Linked DNA regions of Lytechinus pictus. The protein of the gene in region 1 purifies or fractionates together with the protein of each later gene. This does not show direct contact. Links are inferred from orthologs where the notes say so. Each region holds a gene or a part of one and is shown in the gene's direction. Other genes may lie near its edges.

Region 1 (4,087 bases):
AAATAAGAAAGTTATGACATTTTTAAGTTTCGCTTAATTTCACAAAACAGTTATTTGCTTATCCTGGCTTGTATGCAATTTAGGATACTGATGACGTCATCCACTCAGTATTTCTTTTGTATTTTATTATATGAAATATGAAATATTCTAATTTTCTCCTCATTGTCAAGTAAAACAATGATTAATTCCTCTCTGAACATGTGGAATTAGCATTGTTTAATACTATATGGTTCAGTCAAATTGGTCCATACTGTCAAATCTGTAAAAATCAAAATATTGTATAATTCAAACAATAAAAAACAAAGGAAAAAGTGAGTGATGGACATCATCGACTGACAGGGGCGTCGATCCATTTTTCAGATTGGGGGGGCAAAATCATTAACGGCACTCGATCGTACAAAACACCCACCCACCCACCCACACACACACACACACACACACATACACACACACACACACATATATATATATAGAGAGAGAGAGAGAGAGAGAGAGGGAGAGAGAGAGAGACACACACACACACACAGACACGTATCTCACCAACAAATTAATGCGAGCGCGAAGCGCGAGCTGATTTTTTTAGTATACTGACAGGAAAAGCGTGCCTGTTTAGGACTGTTTGTAGTAACTCATGAGGAGGATACATATCTCACTACACAGATAGTACAAGTGCCGAGAGTGAGCTCAAATTTCTTTATATTCTGAGCTGAAAACTTGATATTCTAAGCATTTTTGGTACCAATGATTAAGATTTGTATCTAAAAGAAGAATAGATGCGAGCGCGAAGCGCGAGCTGAAAATTTTGATATTTCGGTCTGAAAAAATGACAGTTTACTGGACGTTTTTGATAAAGAACAAGCTATATATCCAAGAAAAGATGATTGCAAATTGAAGCAGTTCTTTTTAGGCTTAGAACTGAAAACTGGACATTTACATTCACCAATTTAATCATGAAAAGTATGGGTTTTTGCTAAAGAAATGATGCGAGCGCGAGCTGAAAATTTTTATATTCCAATCTGAAAACGGACATTTTGAGCACAATAAAAATTTTAAATAAAGAACGAGTTGTGTATCTCAATCTCGCTTGCTGAACATTACAATCTGTTTTTTTTATGCATATCCGGAATTATTGGGGGGGGGGGGGGCAAAATGATATGTTTGCCCCCCCAATATTTTCATTGGTGGGGCGATCGCCCCCCCTGCCCCCCCAGGATCGACGCCTCTGTCGACTGACTCATAATGCATGTCACTGAGTTGCGCATATCACTATTTTGTGAAAAATAAGCGAAACTTTAAAATGCCATAACTTTCTTATTTTACATCCGATTTTGATGAAATTTTCAGCACAATGCTAGTTTGATTTTTCTCTATTTATTCAAATCAAAATTTTCCTGGGGTGGACTTGACCTTTAATATTTTCTTGGAATTTGGGCAGTGCCCTTGTAAAAATCTGATAAGTTTATTGAGAACTCAGTTTGTGTAAGGACAGGACCGATAGGCCGAGTCGGGTAGAAGTGTATACCGGTAATTTTTTACGAATAAAATTGTTGGTCGAATTGAATTGAATAACCTATGGTATCTTTAACATGATTTTCGTTGGGAGGATCGGATGATCGGAAACGTCAGTGACATATCGACACTGATCAGAGTCAGAGGAGGAGTCAACATTAGGGCCTAGATTTTAGCCTAGCACTAGAACCACTCATCCTACGATCGGTCTGCAAGATGGAGTATATGCCAGGAACAGCTAGTTTGATCGATGAAATTAATAGTAAGACCCAAGAACCGTTTTGTATAGATCTAGGCCTACTGAGTAAATGAATGACAATGAATGTGCAATGTTGTCCCACATGTTGAATTCTATGTCAGGCACTTGCTTTCTGAAACCACGGCACTAGTGATTTAGTCTAGGCTTTTCGAGAATCGAGGTCTCTCTGTTACTATCTCTTTCGCCTCGGTAGCTAACAACTATTTTCAAAGAAATATAGACAATAGATGAGTGTATAATATGTGAAATTTTAATAATTCAGTAACTTTTTCAATTAAATTCAAAATGGTTTATTTAGTCTAAGTTTAGATAAAAACTTCCATCGCAGCACAGAGCCGAATTACAAAAAGTTTTTACAATATAAAGATTGAAATCATAAGGTATAAGCATAATGTGGAATATAACACCAAAAACATAATACAATAAAGCAACAAATATGGTACAAAACATAAAATAAACAAAAACTTATCACAAGACTAAATGCGTTCAATATGACGTTAACGTCAATTACAAGAATCACAGAACTAAAACAAAAAATACAAAGTCAGAGAATCAATGTGAGAAAAAAGATTAGACATGCAATTTATGCAAAAAGTACCAGATCGTGTGCAATTCAGGATTAAATTAAATATATGAATACACAAGAGATGAAGGATAAAGAGAAAAATATAGGCAGAATAACAAAAGTGCGGAGAAAAGGGACAAAAGGATAAAGAAATGAAGCAGCAATTAAAATTGAAGGCGAAAGAAAAAACAAGAACAATATAATCAACGAGATGGAGTAACTGTTCAATAGTGAAAACAACTTAATTGGGGATACAATGTAAATATACAACGAAGCAAAAAAGAAAGAAGGAAAAAAAAAGAGGACGAGAGAACGGTAGCGAGGCTACCAGAGAAAAAAAATCTGTTTTAGTTATAGATAATTAGAATTCAACATAGTAAACTGGGAAGATAAAAAAATGTAAAATTTGTCTGTATTGTACCAGATTGCATCGTAAAAAATAGAGTGCATAGTGTTTGTGTTGAAAAAACAGAGTGGTGAAAAGCAAGAAATGAGGAAAAATGGAGAAAAATACAGAAAAGTAGAGAGAAGGTGATAATGAGAAGGAAAAGGAATAAACAGTCAAAGAGACCAAAGGTGAAAAGGAAGAAGCAAGGGTAAAAGAAAAGGGAAGGAGATAATAGAAAGAATTACAAGAAGAAGAAGGGAAAAAAAGGAGAAGAGGAAAGAAAGGGGAGAAGGAAAAACAGAATGCGGGGAAGGAGAGAGTTAAGTAGAAAAGGAGGGAGCGTAGCTCAGTCGGTTAGAGCGCATGTTTCTGATAAGATCGTAGATCTCAACGTGAGGGGTTCGAGTCCCGCTCATGCCGAAACGCGTCTAACAAACAAAAATCTGATGCTATAGCGTTGTGTGTTAGCGTGCCTCACCACTGTATTCAGTGCAGGTGTAAATGCAGTTGGAAAACACTCCGTCCATCGGAAAGGACGCAAATGTTGGTCCTGTGTATAGGAGAGTCACAACCTATGCACGTTAAAACCAATACACTATTCGTCAAAGAGTAGGGTGTTCACCCGGTGTATTGCACCTGCAGGTCCCGGCAAAATTCAGGTCAAGTCAATCTTGACATTCATATGCCATAATCAATATAATGATTGTGGGCATTAAATAATGGAAAGACAAGACAAGGTAATAAAGAGTCGAAGGGGAAGGTGAGACACAAGACCACAAGCATTAAGGGATTGACAAGTCCAAAGAGCAGGTAGGGAGGAACAGTAGCATACTCACTCATCACTTATTCTGGTTATTGTTCAGTATACGAATGAGATACGGTATTGCACTATTTTGCATTCGTTTGGTTTTACATGTTGGCTCAGGGATTAGGGGTTTACGTCTCAACAATCTTGGATTATCTGGAGGTAAAAACGATTTGAATTGGTCTGTATTGATTAGAGTTTTCTTAAAGAAATTCAAACTCAAATCTTCCCTTCTATCAGAGAGAGATTGGAGTTTCAATTCCACTAAGACAGTATCATAAGTAGAGTAGCATGTGCCCATAACTAACCTCAAAGCCCTTTTCTGAACTCTTTCTAATCTTGTGATCTGTTCTTTGGTGAGTCCCCCATTTCATACAGGAGCTCCATATTCCAGCACTGGCCTAATGTAGCACCTATATATTGTCAACAAATCATCTTGGGGAAGACCATGGCATTTCAATAATCTAAGCATGTGAATTTTGCTGTTTGATCTCTTTATGATATCATTTGTGTTTTGGTCCCATTTTAATGTTTTGGATAATGACTCCCAGAAGTTTGGTT
Region 2 (4,087 bases), on another chromosome or scaffold:
TCTCTGATATTGGAGACAGTCTCCAATATTGGCCGTGCGCCTCTAACTGTTACTGTTAGTGTTACTGACTTACTCAGTTACTGTATACCGGTATAAAACCCAGTTCAGTTGATTTATTCATTTTTAGGGCCTAATTCACACTATTTGCATCTACTAGAAAAACCTCATTGTATATCTTGTATTTATTTCCCAGACATTACACCTACCAGAACCTAATTTAGATTTGAACAGTTCTGCACCGTTGTTTCTGCATCTCACTGGCAGCACGTCCAAGTGAACGGTGTCGTCCCACGTATAGTGCCGCTTCTCCCCCGATGGCGACGACGGAGTGCAGGGGGTAGCCGGAGTCTTTAAACCGTCAACAAGAGCAGCTGCTGCATCAGCTTGCTGCACCACAGCAATTATTCTTGGTTTCAGAGGGGCACCATCTTGCACTTGAACAGGCAGTCCATTAGCAGTAAATATTCCTGTAGGCGTTGCTGCAAAAACATGTTCGGTAACAGCAGAAGTGCTAATTTGACCAGACGATACTGAAACGGAATCATTCGCGAAGGCAGAATCGTCGGCATTTGGACTCGGTAGACCTTCGGAGATGTCGGCAATTCCGACCGTCACTTCGGTAACTTCTGTATTTTCCATATCTTCACTACTGTCCCCCATTTAAGCCGCTATACTTGACTGTAAACTATAGAACATTAATAATCGGTCCGATCAAAATGAAAATCGCAAATAAAAAGTACAAATTTCGAGAATTAAAATTGTTAAACGGTATGGTCGGGAAATTTCGTAAAACACTCGCAATATGGCTCCCTCGCCCTTTCGTTTTTTCGGAGACTCATTACACATGCGCGATAAAGGTTACATTGGAAACGTCCATATGGATTTAGGGGTAAAATGACAATGTTTATCGCAAGAAGAGTTATTTTGCGAATTTTTGATCAGTTTTTGAAAATATAAATCGATATAAAGAAAAGAAGTACGGTATGCAAAATCGAAAAATATAAATTCGTAGAATCGTAATGAATCAAACATGCATTATTATATTGATCATTAAATCATATTCGCTGCACAAATAAAGAAGTACCCCCTTGCCAAAGTGTGCTAACCTTTGTCGTCTTTATATTTTATTTCAACTGGGATGAAATGGATTTTACCAAAGTCAGGATTTTCAACACTGCAAAAACAAGATGACAGACAATTTATTTGGTTATGCCGGAGATTTACCTGTAAGTTATTTTCTATGCGTGTTTGTGATATGGAATTGATTTTCTTTGGGTATAGATACTGCAAAATTAACAAATTTATCTCAAAACTTAGATATTCAATTAGGTGCTTTGGTCCTACATACGGCTTTTTGTGTAAGTTAAAGGATATTCTTGGCCATTGATTAATTAAGTCTTTTAAGATTTGGAGTGATTGGACGACTCCTTCCTTGCGCTCCTAACTTTAATAAGCAGGGGCCTAACGTTATTATGTTTGATGTATTACTCCTGACTGCAATGTAAGTGCCATAGTTTTGAAAAAGCGGGGATAATTAATGTTTGTAAATCGTGTTGTAGTAAGTCACCCCACCCCCCATATAGGTCTTCCACCGGGAGATGGCGCTGGACCCCTTTTAGACGCTGGAGGACGTTGGATCCCTTGGATCATCGTATTTGAAGCTGAACTCACACGGAATAGACAGGATCTAAGGACATCACTCCAGAAAACTACTGGTAGGTGATTTATTCCTTATATTCTTAGCTTCAGGTATCAACCTAGTGGTCAAGCTGGGGGCGCGACCGCTACAGTGGCGCTGCGAGCCTGACTGTGCCTGCTTTTGTGGGCATTTTAGGCCAAATTATTGAAATTAATTGGGGTATAATTGTCTCGCGGCGAGCTAACGGCCCCCTATTGCGCATCGGACGAGCAAATCCCTATGCCCCGCTGCGTGGGGGGAAATGGTCGCCGCTCGAGTACGAGAAATCAGTTTTAGATTGGGCTAATTACAGTTGATAAGGCTAAATTCAGAGCCTTGTCGTATTGCGTATATTCTATGAATATTGTCCCTTGTTTCATGTTTGCGATTGTCCTGAATTGAGAGGTTAAATCTTGATTTGGGACATATTTAGGCAATCGTCCCCTGTCTTTTTTGGTAAGGTTTTCGTCGCGGGGACTGATGGTAGTTCCGGTCCCGTGACGGAAATTTCCAGAAAAGGGGGGAGAACACACGTGTTGTTGTGTTGTGAGTTTGTTTTAGTTTTGTGCTTTAATATCCGTTTTTAGTTGTGGACTGTGTTTCACGTTGGTGTGATTGTGTGATTTGCTTGTGATTTTGGGTGTTTGGATGATTTTTGTGTCGTTTTGCGAGTGATTTGTGAGTGAACTATTTTTGTTGGGGTGAGAGGTGCGTAAGAGTGTGTGTGTTCCGGCTAGGTAAAAGCGCACGGCCCGATCCAAGATTTCACGGCGATCTATTGGCGGAGAGATATTATTGGTTCTCTCTGCCACCGACCGGTGCCATCTTGTTTTACATCGTCGGCTCAACGTTTGGGTCTAGTTTGAGATCCGAACTGACGTCAGGCCGGACCAATCCATCGCACGTATACGGGTAAACAACGGCGATTATTTGGGCGAGTAGGACGGGAAGCCAGACTGACCAACAAAGGTAGGGCATTATCCCAATCCTCTCTCGCCTGCCTATTTCGGATATTTTGAATTTTGTGTGGTGTTTTAGGGTGTTTTGTCCAAATTTTGGGGGAACGTTTTGTACTCGAAGCTGGGTAGAATTCACGGTAATTATCGAGATCTAACCAGTTAGACCGCCCGATCATTTCCGGGTTTGACGTTAGATCCAGTGCAACTGTGCACGACCATTGGTTGTGTATTGCATACCTAATAGGTTGGTTTTTGGTGCCAGTGTGTAGTGTTGTGTTGCGTGTGGACCCACCCACTCGTTGTAGCGGGGAGTCCGTTGCCAAATAAATAAAAGAAATAAAAAAAAATTTTGGAGAGAGTGTGGGGTGACTGTGTATGTGAATAAGTACATGTAATTTGTCTGTGGTGTGAGCGGGCACTAGTCACTAGCGTGATTGAGGACAGAACCAGCTTCGAGGATTAATAAAATAAATAGCCTAGGTAAATTAATAAAAGACAAGATAGGCTTAACGTTAGAGGTTAATATAAATATTTTTAGAGCTACAATTATTCTTTTTGGCAGTGCTTGTGCAAACTATTAGCAACAACCGGACTAAACTAATCTAATTAATAATAAAAGCTAGAATTTTATACCATAAATTGGGTTTGCATTTGGACCTAATTTTTTGGGATAGCTTTTTTGGATAACTTTAGCAGGTTTTTTGGTCGGGCTAATTACTGTGCCTAACCATTAACTGTTAAAGGTATATTTTTGGACTTATACCGGTTTTATAATTTTAGTTGCTAAAAATAAAAGAATTGTTATAAAATAAATTGGGTCTGCATTTGGACCTAATTTTTTGGGATAGCTTTTTTGGATAACTTTAGCAGGTTTTTGGTCGGGCTAATTATTGTGCCTAACCATTAACTGTGGAAAGGTATATTTTTGGACTTTTACCGGTTTTTATAATTCTAGTCGCTAAAAAATAAAAGAATTTATTGGGGCCACTTTGGGATAAATTTAAGTAGGTTCTTGGTCGGGCTTATTATTGTGCCTAACCATAAATTGATTGGGGTATACTTTTGGACTCTTTTTTTGTAATTTAGTTGCCAAAAGAAAATAAAAGAAAGAATTTAATAAGATAGATTGGGTTAGATTGAGACCTAGTTTTAGAATAGCTTTGGGATAATTTAAACGGGGGTTTGGTTGGGCTCAGTATTGGGCCTAACTGAACCTTGCTAGGATAACACCAATTAGGGTAAACACAACATGGACGGGGAAGAGAAAATCCCTATCAATGTGTGCTCCTTTGAGGAGTTCAGGTCGCTAGGGCTAAGTTCAGCCCTAGCTGGGATAATTCAGGGGATTCGAATGGATCAGGGGGAAATAACCCCTGAGCTATTTGAGAGCAGCCCAGCGCTATGCAGCAATAGGGAGCTAGCACGAAGAGTAGATTTTTGGGAGGGCACC

The links.
Region 2: the proteins of U6 snRNA-associated Sm-like protein LSm1 (region 1) and protein PAT1 homolog 1-like purify together in Homo sapiens (co-immunoprecipitation; 3 studies listed by BioGRID and IntAct, with this or other methods). This does not show direct contact. The link is inferred for Lytechinus pictus from reciprocal best matches to the Homo sapiens genes LSM1 and PATL1.

The regions. Positions count from the first base shown.
Region 1 is NC_087256.1:4,034,776-4,038,862, reverse strand, and holds the start of U6 snRNA-associated Sm-like protein LSm1, read left to right. Parts: upstream 1-1,455; 5' UTR 1,456-1,725; coding exon 1,726-1,771; intron 1,772-4,087. UniProt on the Homo sapiens protein: Plays a role in the degradation of histone mRNAs, the only eukaryotic mRNAs that are not polyadenylated. Probably also part of an LSm subunits-containing complex involved in the general process of mRNA degradation.
Region 2 is NC_087263.1:11,873,479-11,877,565, reverse strand, and holds the start of protein PAT1 homolog 1-like, read left to right. Parts: upstream 1-1,104; 5' UTR 1,105-1,187; coding exon 1,188-1,226; intron 1,227-1,583; exon of another isoform or gene 1,584-1,715; intron 1,716-4,087. Other genes in the region: deformed epidermal autoregulatory factor 1 homolog, read right to left, coding at 207-660. UniProt on the Homo sapiens protein: RNA-binding protein involved in deadenylation-dependent decapping of mRNAs, leading to the degradation of mRNAs. Acts as a scaffold protein that connects deadenylation and decapping machinery.